Sus scrofa: one gene and its partner. The protein of the gene in region 2 interacts with the protein of the main gene of each other region in a pairwise test. Links are inferred from orthologs where the notes say so. Each region holds a gene or a part of one and is shown on either strand. Other genes may lie near its edges.

Region 1 (3,500 bases), about 1.3 Mb from region 2:
AAGAATCTCCTCTCCCTTTGGTCGTGTCTCAGAGCCTCATACCCAAGGCCCAGAGAGGCCGAGAAACTTTGGTGAGAGGAGGAGAAAATCAGCCGGAAGTTCAGCTCAAGTCCAAGGAACAGGAGATGAGCACCGTCCGGGCTTCCACCCCTCCCTCCAGCTCTGCCAAAGCTACAAACCAGGAAAGGCAGCTCTGGGGGCGGGCGAGGGGCCCAGGAGGGGGCCCAGGAGGAGCCCTCGCTGCAAGAAGCGCAGCCTCAGGTCTGAGGGCGTGCGGACGGGAACCTGCAAGGAGGAAAGGTGAGGAGGAGAGGACAGGGCGGCCACGGAGCAGGGGGACCAGCCTCAGACGTGCCCGGCGGACGCCGATGAGGTACAGCCGCACCCCTCCTCCCCGGGCCTGGAGGCAGGAGGTGCCAGCAGGGGAGCAGGAGGCGGCAGGCAGGACGCTCTGGAATGCAGGGCCAGGGCGCCCGGGTGGAGGGCGCAGGAGGCTGGGACCAGGGCAGCCCCGGGATGGAGGCGCGAGCAGGCAGAGAGGAAGCCCGGACAGGGGCAGAGAGGGAAGAGGCAGGGTGTAGATGAGATCCAGGAGGAAGAGGAGGTGGATGAAGATGAGGCAGGAGCTCCAGCGGGAAGCGGAGGAGGAGGAGGCGGTGGTGGGAGGGAGAAAAGGTTAGCGGGATCCTGAGATGACTGGGCTGCAAAGAGAAAGTGAGAGAAGGGATGGTTATGCAGGAGAGGCGCCAGGGCTGCGCTAACCCTGGTGGGCCGCCCCCCCCGCCGTCCCAGGGCCCCGGGTCTGCAGCTGGCTCCAGCTCGGGCGGGAGGCTCCGGCTTTTATTAGCAATCATTCTCCTGGGGGGTTGGCTGCACCTTTCTCCTGTGTATCTGCCTCCACCTGCACCTCTGCCACCTCCACCTCCACCTCCTCCTCCTGCTGCTGCTCCTCCTCCAGCGGCTCCTCCGCGCTCTGTGAACCAGCCGGCGGACCCAGGGAAGAAAGAGCGCAGAACTAACCAGGGGGCCAGGGCCTGCTGGCGGCTGTCCCCGCGGGCCCCCATCTCAGGGCAAGGCGAAGGGGGGCCTCCGGGGGAGGGGGAGCGCTACGGCCACAGAAGCTGGGGCATCTTGTCCCGGTCCCCGGGGGACGCCTGGGAAGGGTCTGGGGAAACCAGCCGAGGGTGGGGTCCTGCTGAAGATGCTCGCAGATCAGCCTGGCTGCTGGGATGCGAGCAAGGCTGGGGCACGGGAGAGAGGCGGGGATGAGTGGGTGCGGCGTCCTTGAGGGGTGCCTGGGAAGGCCTCATTTTAGGAGGTCCGACCCAGAGTAGGCATGCGGCCAGGGAGGGCTCAGGGCAGCCACCGGCCCCATCTGAGATGCCAGCCACAGCCTCTGGCACCCCGGGTCCCGAGGTCTCTCCCAGAGAAGCAGAAGCAGCAGGCTCACCCTGCACCCTTGCAAGGCCGTGCCAGCCATAGCCCAATGGGGGCGAGGCGGGCAGGGGAGGTCACAGCACAGGGAGGCAGACAGACGGGAAGCTGGAGTTCCTACATCTCCACCACACAGGGACAGGCTTCTAGAAGGAAGGAATGTTCTCCCTTCTTCCCAGCCTGGCTTGCTGCCTGCTCCACCGGTCCTACCATAGGGCCCTGGAGGCTTCTGACCAGCTCTGGGTCCAGGGTGGCAGGACCTCTGCTCAGCCCCTCCCCCGAGCCAGCCGATGTCCCTCACTGGCCAGAAACAGAGATCTGGAGCCCCCAGGGCTCCTGACCCCTCTTCGGCAGAGCCCGGGCAGGAGCCTGGGGGAGGGACAGGATGAACAGACTCCCCACGGCCCAGGCCCCTGGGAAATACATTCTCTTCGAATCCCGGAAGTTCCAAGCTGGACAGCATCACAGAGAGCACGTGGTCCCTCCCTCTCACTTCTCTGAGAGCCCAGCCAAGGTGTCCAGAGGGGGTCGGAATCGTCCAAGGTCTCCCAGGGGGCTCGAGCCCAGCCCCCTAGTTCAGGGCACACCCCCTGTGCTGCACCACCCCATGGCCACTGCCAGCCCGCTGTTCAAGTGGCATCTAAGTCCACTCTCACTGCACCCTGGGGATGACCCATCTCCCTGCCCCCCTAGCCTGGGCCTGGGTGACTGGGGTGAGCAGACAGGACCATGGGTGGCATGGGATGGATGGCATTGACTGTGACCGAGGGAGGGAAAGGGGATGCGTGGGCAGCGGGAGGGAGAACGAAGCAGCAGGGATGGCCGGGCAGGGGGCGGGGGGTGGAGGGCGTGAGGGGAGGGAGGTAAGGGTGGGGGCCGCTCACCTTGGTTTTGCGGCTGGACTCGGAACTCAGCCCGTGTGGGGAACTGTAGAGCTCCTTGGACACCACGCACAGGAACTCTGCCTGGTCCTCGCTGCCGTAGTTGTAGGAGGAGCCGATGTTCACCAGCTGGAGGGGGGAGCGTGGGGAGAAAGTGACAGGTAGAGTGGGGGGGCGGGGGCAGGTGGACACTGGCACTTGTCAGGACACAAGTGGTGCCCTGATCTTGCTGTTCTATTCAGGCCCATCCCTGGGTTTCCAGAGGGCACTTGGGCCCAAAGTCTCAGTCCTCTCCCCTCCCCCACCTAAGCCTCTGGTCTATTTCGAGGGCCAGCCTCCCCGAGTGGCTTGGCTGGGCCTGATCCTTAGAGGAAGGCGGTCATCGTTGCTGTTCCTCCCCCACCCAGCCTACTCCCAGCTCTATCGGGCCACTTTCTAAAAGCAGGCACAAAGAGGCAAAAAAGGGAGTTCCTGCTGTGGCTTAGCAGGCTGTGAACCGGACTCATGTCCAGGAGGATGCGGGTTTGATCCCTGGCCTCGCTCAGCGGGTTAAGGATCCGGCACTGCCTTGAGCTGTGGTGCAGGTTACAGACGTGGCTCGAATCCTGTGTTGCTGTGGCTGTGGTGTAGATCGGCAGGTGCAGCTCTGATTGGATCCCTAGCCTGGGAACTTCCATATGCTGCAAGTGCAGCCCTAAAAAGCAAAAATAAAATAAAACAAAAGCAGGCAGAGGCTCATACAGGGCAGACTGTGCCCCTGTCCCAGACGTGGCTGAAGCAGCCCCAGGCCCAGGTTACAGGATGAGGTCGGCATGACCTGGGGATGGGGCCCCAGAGAATACTCTGTTCACTCTTTTTTTTTTTTTTTTTGTCTTTTTGCCTTTTCTAGGGCTGCTCCCGTGGCATATGGAGGTTCCCAGGCTAGGGGTCTAATCGGAGCTGCAGCTGCCGGCCTACACCACAGCCATAGCAACACGGGATCGGAGCCGTGTCTGCGACCTACACCACAGCTCATGACAACAGCAGATCCTTAACCCACTGAGCAAGGCCAGGGATCGAAGCTGCAACCTCATGGCTCCTAGTCAGATTCGTGAACCACTGAGCCATGACAGGAACTCCTATTCTGTTCACTCTTGGAAAGAGAGGTAGAACAGGTTGCCCGTTCCTTAGGCCAGTGGCCCCCTG
Region 2 (4,274 bases):
GATGGAAACAGTTGATAGCTCTGAACACCTCCAAGTGGACCACTAGTTCTCAACGGGGGACAATTTTGTTCCCTGGGGACATGACAATGTTTGGAGAATTTTTGGGTTGTCACAACTATGAGGCTGCTACTAGCATATCATGAGTGGTTAGGAGCCAGAGTGCTAAACACCCTACAATGCACAAGGCAGCCCCCCCACAACAAAGAACTGTCAAGTCCCAAATGCCAATAGAGTCAAGGCTGAGAAACCCTAAAATGGACAATTTCACACAGCACTGAAGAAATACTTACAATCCCATGTTTTTGTAACAGGTCGATGTCTTGAAACAAAGATTCCTAACGAAGATGGAACAGGGAAAAAAAAAAAGTTTTTATTCTTCATATTCAACCGTTTCACAAATATTTTTAAGAGTTAATTCAGAATTATGAGTCACTCCAAGATGCTTCAAATTCCACTTCTCTAGACAGACTGAGGTAGGCTCAATAATGATTTTTCAAACACATTGTTGCATACATAGAAGTGCTAACACTGAAAGCACTGGGAAGCTCAATACTTTTATTATGCCCTCTCCAAATTTTTAAGACCTTAACCCAAAAGAGTGGAACAACATTTAATCTATTTTAAAATATGTTTTCTCAGTCTTCCCCACCAGACCTTGAACTCCTTCTACTCCTCACTACCAGTTTGCATAGGAACCAGTATGGCCATACCAATTGCTAAATTATTAAAATACTTTCACACCAGCTGCTAAGTAGCTAATCTTAGCACCCCTTGCCAAACAAGTTGTTACATATTTGTAATATTGCCTCTCTCCAGAACTATGTTTTATTGCTAATCTGTTTCTAAAAATAGTAGTTAACAGAGAAGGAACTTCATTTTTGTAGAATGACTAAATGTCTACATGTCTTTCAACATTCTAGCCATACTTCTTCATCTTGGAATCCTGGTTCTTCCAGCACAACTTGATCCTCCTTCATACTGAAAGGAGAACAGCAAAAAAATAATCAATTTTGGGAAAATAAAAAAATATTAAGAAGTAGTCATAGTACAAAACCCTTTGCCCATAGACTTTCTTGATTTCAATTCAGTTATTAAGGACCAGAAGGACAAATAGAAAAACATTTAGTTTGAAATGACTGGCTAGCCTATATCCTTTCTGCTAGGCATCTGGTATTATTTCTTTTAATGGGTGTGCATATGTGAGGGTGGAGGGACATTGTTTCTCTCCTCTTTCCTCAAAATTGGCCACTTTGTATCATCTTTTGATTTCCCACAGCACAATTATAACTGATAATATCTCTTTGTTGTCTTGGAATGTTATTGGCAGTAGAAATATTAGAATTAGAATATTAGAACTCCGTATTTTTATTCTTTCATGTTCATGTTAACAACACTCTAAGAACTTTAGCCTGGATCTCCTGTTGTGGCTCGGTGGGTGAAAAAACCAACTAGTAGCCATAAGGATTTGGGTTCGATCCCCGGCCTTGCCCAGTGGGTTAAAGATCCAATGTTGCTACGAGGTAGGTCTCAGACATGGCTAGGATCTGGCATTGCTGTGGTTGTGGCATAGGCTGGCAGCTGTAGCTCCAATTTGACCTTTAGCCTGGGCACTTATCTATGCCACAGGTTTGGCCCTAAAAAGAAAACAAACAAACAAACAAAAAAAAAACCTTTGGCCTTAAGTCAGTCTTCCTATATCTTCCCCGGCACCTAGAACTTAGTCTCTCTTCAACAGATAGATATTTTTTCATCTCTTCCTGCTTGAGAATTATGAATGAGCTCTCTTGCAACATGTGTATTTTTCTTTCATAAAACAATGGATGTATTTTGTTCTATAGTATTTACTACTTTCATGATTTTTGTAAAGATTTAAATTATGGTGAATACTCAGTATCATAATATGATAAAATATTAGGGCCAATAAGCAGATGAACAATCTTTGAGTTAACACTGGAGCAGCGGTTTTAAGATCTCAGGAATCTAAAAAGCATGATCCTGTTTATTAGAAAACGTAGTCCAAGTAATCACTTTTCTTGGTCTATTCCATTTTCTCACAAAACGCGGAAGTCAGGGGTTGGGGCCCAGCAGAAGGGGAACAAATTACTAAGGTTGAGGTATGGTCGTTACCACCTAGTACCTCTGAACAGCAAAGTATTCGAGGCAAAAGAGGAGACGGTGTAAATGGAATTTTCTGGAATACGGCCCCTCACTCAGATTGCTTATATATATGTATATATATGATTGCCCCCAAATTCCACATTGACTGTCCTTTCTTTAGCCTTGAAAAAAGCTGCTCTTCATCTTTCTCAAATAGCAATGGACGTTGAGAGCAGTTGGATCTAGAGTAGGGCTCCCAGTCGCCTCGGCTTCGGGCGTGGAAGCGCGGTCCAGGTCGCCTCCCCTGCCGCCACCCGTTTTTCCAACACCTAACTCCCTCATAAGGAGTCTGAGGAGGCCCCTCCCCAACTTAGGTCCTACTTGGTTTAAAATAAGGATGCTGGTAATCACTCAAGGGCACTGAGATATACCCCCAGGGGTGGGGGCGGGACGCACAAAGTGGAGCCTCCAACCACCACCAAGCATGACTAAAGAAGGGACCCCCTGAGTTTCCCCTCAGATTCTTCACCCACCTTCCCCTTTTGCCACAAACCCGACTCGTACCCACAATCTCCCTTTTCAAGGTGAATGAATCCCTTCCGCCCCCGTCCCGGGCCTTCCAGTCCTCAGGGATTCTGACTCCGAAGCAGAACGCGGCGCCTCGCAGCCCCGTTGACCAAGAGGTTCGGTGCCCAACGACTAGTTTGGGCGCGCGCCTGGCGTGGGCGGGGCCAGGACGGAGGGGCGGGGATCTGGGCGGGGCAGAGGACGGGGGGCGGGGCGGCAGGAGCGTCCGGGGGAGGCGAAGGTACTGGGAGCGGCGAACGGACTCTCCGGGGCGTGTCGCGCGCTGGGATGAGGAAGGGGGCGCTGAGGGGGAGAGTGTGTGCTGAGGAGAGGGGCTTTGGTGGGAAGGGAGGCTGGGGCGTCTCCAGAGCGGAGGGAGATGCTGAGGTCAAGAGAGGACTCTGAGGTGGGGGCACCCAGGACATGGGTCAAAATTGGGGGCTCCTGAGGTGGACGCTGAGGTGAAGACAGGATCCTCTGAGAAAGGAGGCCCTTGGGTGGCGCGTGTTCTGAGATGAAGAGAGGCCGCTGGAAAGGGGGCAAGAGGTGGACGACCGTGAGGCGGGGGAGGGGTGCTGAGGGGAGGTGGCTGATGTGGTGACTCATGACGTGCAGAATGCTTACCTTAATCCAGATCCTCCGTTAGGAGCCGAATATGGGGGTCTTTTCCCCCTGCTTAAGGCTTTTCTTTTCATTCCAAGTTTTTCATGTCTGCCTTCATAGTTTGTTCCTAATATCTCAGCGTTCCTAATTTCTCTCCCTTCTCCGTGACTCTCTTACCGTTTGCCATTCTCTAGTCTGTGAGTGAGACACCCAAAGCCCATTCAGGACGGAGAGTAATTTTTCTTCCTTTTAACTTGAAATTTTAAATAGACAACAGAAGCCAAACATATTTTGGTCCAGCTTTTAAATAGAAATTTTAGGCCAGCCTTCATGCCAGCAGAGCCGTCTCTGGCAGCATCAACCCTCCTCCCCTTAAATGGAGACTGACTGTTGAAGAGAGTCATGAAACATTTGAAAGAGCATCTGTTGAGGTGGAGGCTGTGATGTATCTTGGATGACTATCTGTGCAAACAGTTCTTTGGGTTCAAGACCTAGTACAGGGTGACCCTTTTCATTCAGTGTCTGAATCATATTTTGCTGGAATAAATAGCCAAAAATTCCCACAATAGCAGTTGGCATTTTGTAGGACATTTCCTCTGCCCCCCACGTGGATTGTTTAAAGACCCAACAAATAACTGCCATAGTTCTTCAAAATCTGTTATTTTCCAGAAACACAGCCTGGTCTTGCTTAAATAGAAATTAATGTCAATTTTTGAGATGAACTGTATAGTCGATGGTAGGCTTTCACTTTGGGCCTCACCTAAAATAATTATAGTAACTTCTGAGCAACTTGTTAGATGGAGACATCAACTGTACGGAAGAGCTGCAAAGAGCACAACAAGATGATTTAGGGAAATATAACATATGTAGTTTGGTGTAGTGACAGCTGGGAGAGAGAAATGTTCATAATATTTGAAGGTTGTGTGCAGTACACTTAAAGAAACTGAAATGAGCTTGGTAATGACAAACTCATGAAGTAAGGATAAAAATCTTGTTTGGAGATGGTA

The links. The genes of interacting proteins can lie anywhere in the genome.
Region 1: the proteins of DMC1 (region 2) and KCTD17 interact in binary tests that used the Homo sapiens proteins (3 or more experiments, as listed by UniProt). The two-hybrid records come from large-scale screens. The link is inferred for Sus scrofa from reciprocal best matches to the Homo sapiens genes DMC1 and KCTD17.

The regions. Positions count from the first base shown.
Region 1 is NC_010447.5:10,708,967-10,712,466, forward strand, and holds part of KCTD17 (BTB/POZ domain-containing protein KCTD17), read right to left. Parts: intron 2,445-3,500; coding exon 2,319-2,444; intron 974-2,318; coding exon 877-973; intron 702-876; coding exon 346-701; coding exon of another isoform or gene 180-345; 3' UTR 1-179. UniProt on the Homo sapiens protein: Substrate-adapter for CUL3-RING ubiquitin ligase complexes which mediates the ubiquitination and subsequent proteasomal degradation of TCHP, a protein involved in ciliogenesis down-regulation.
Region 2 is NC_010447.5:9,429,762-9,434,035, reverse strand, and holds the start of DMC1 (meiotic recombination protein DMC1/LIM15 homolog), read right to left. Parts: upstream 2,801-4,274; 5' UTR 2,662-2,800; intron 979-2,661; 5' UTR 978-978; coding exon 927-977; intron 336-926; coding exon 291-335; intron 1-290. UniProt on the Homo sapiens protein: Participates in meiotic recombination, specifically in homologous strand assimilation, which is required for the resolution of meiotic double-strand breaks.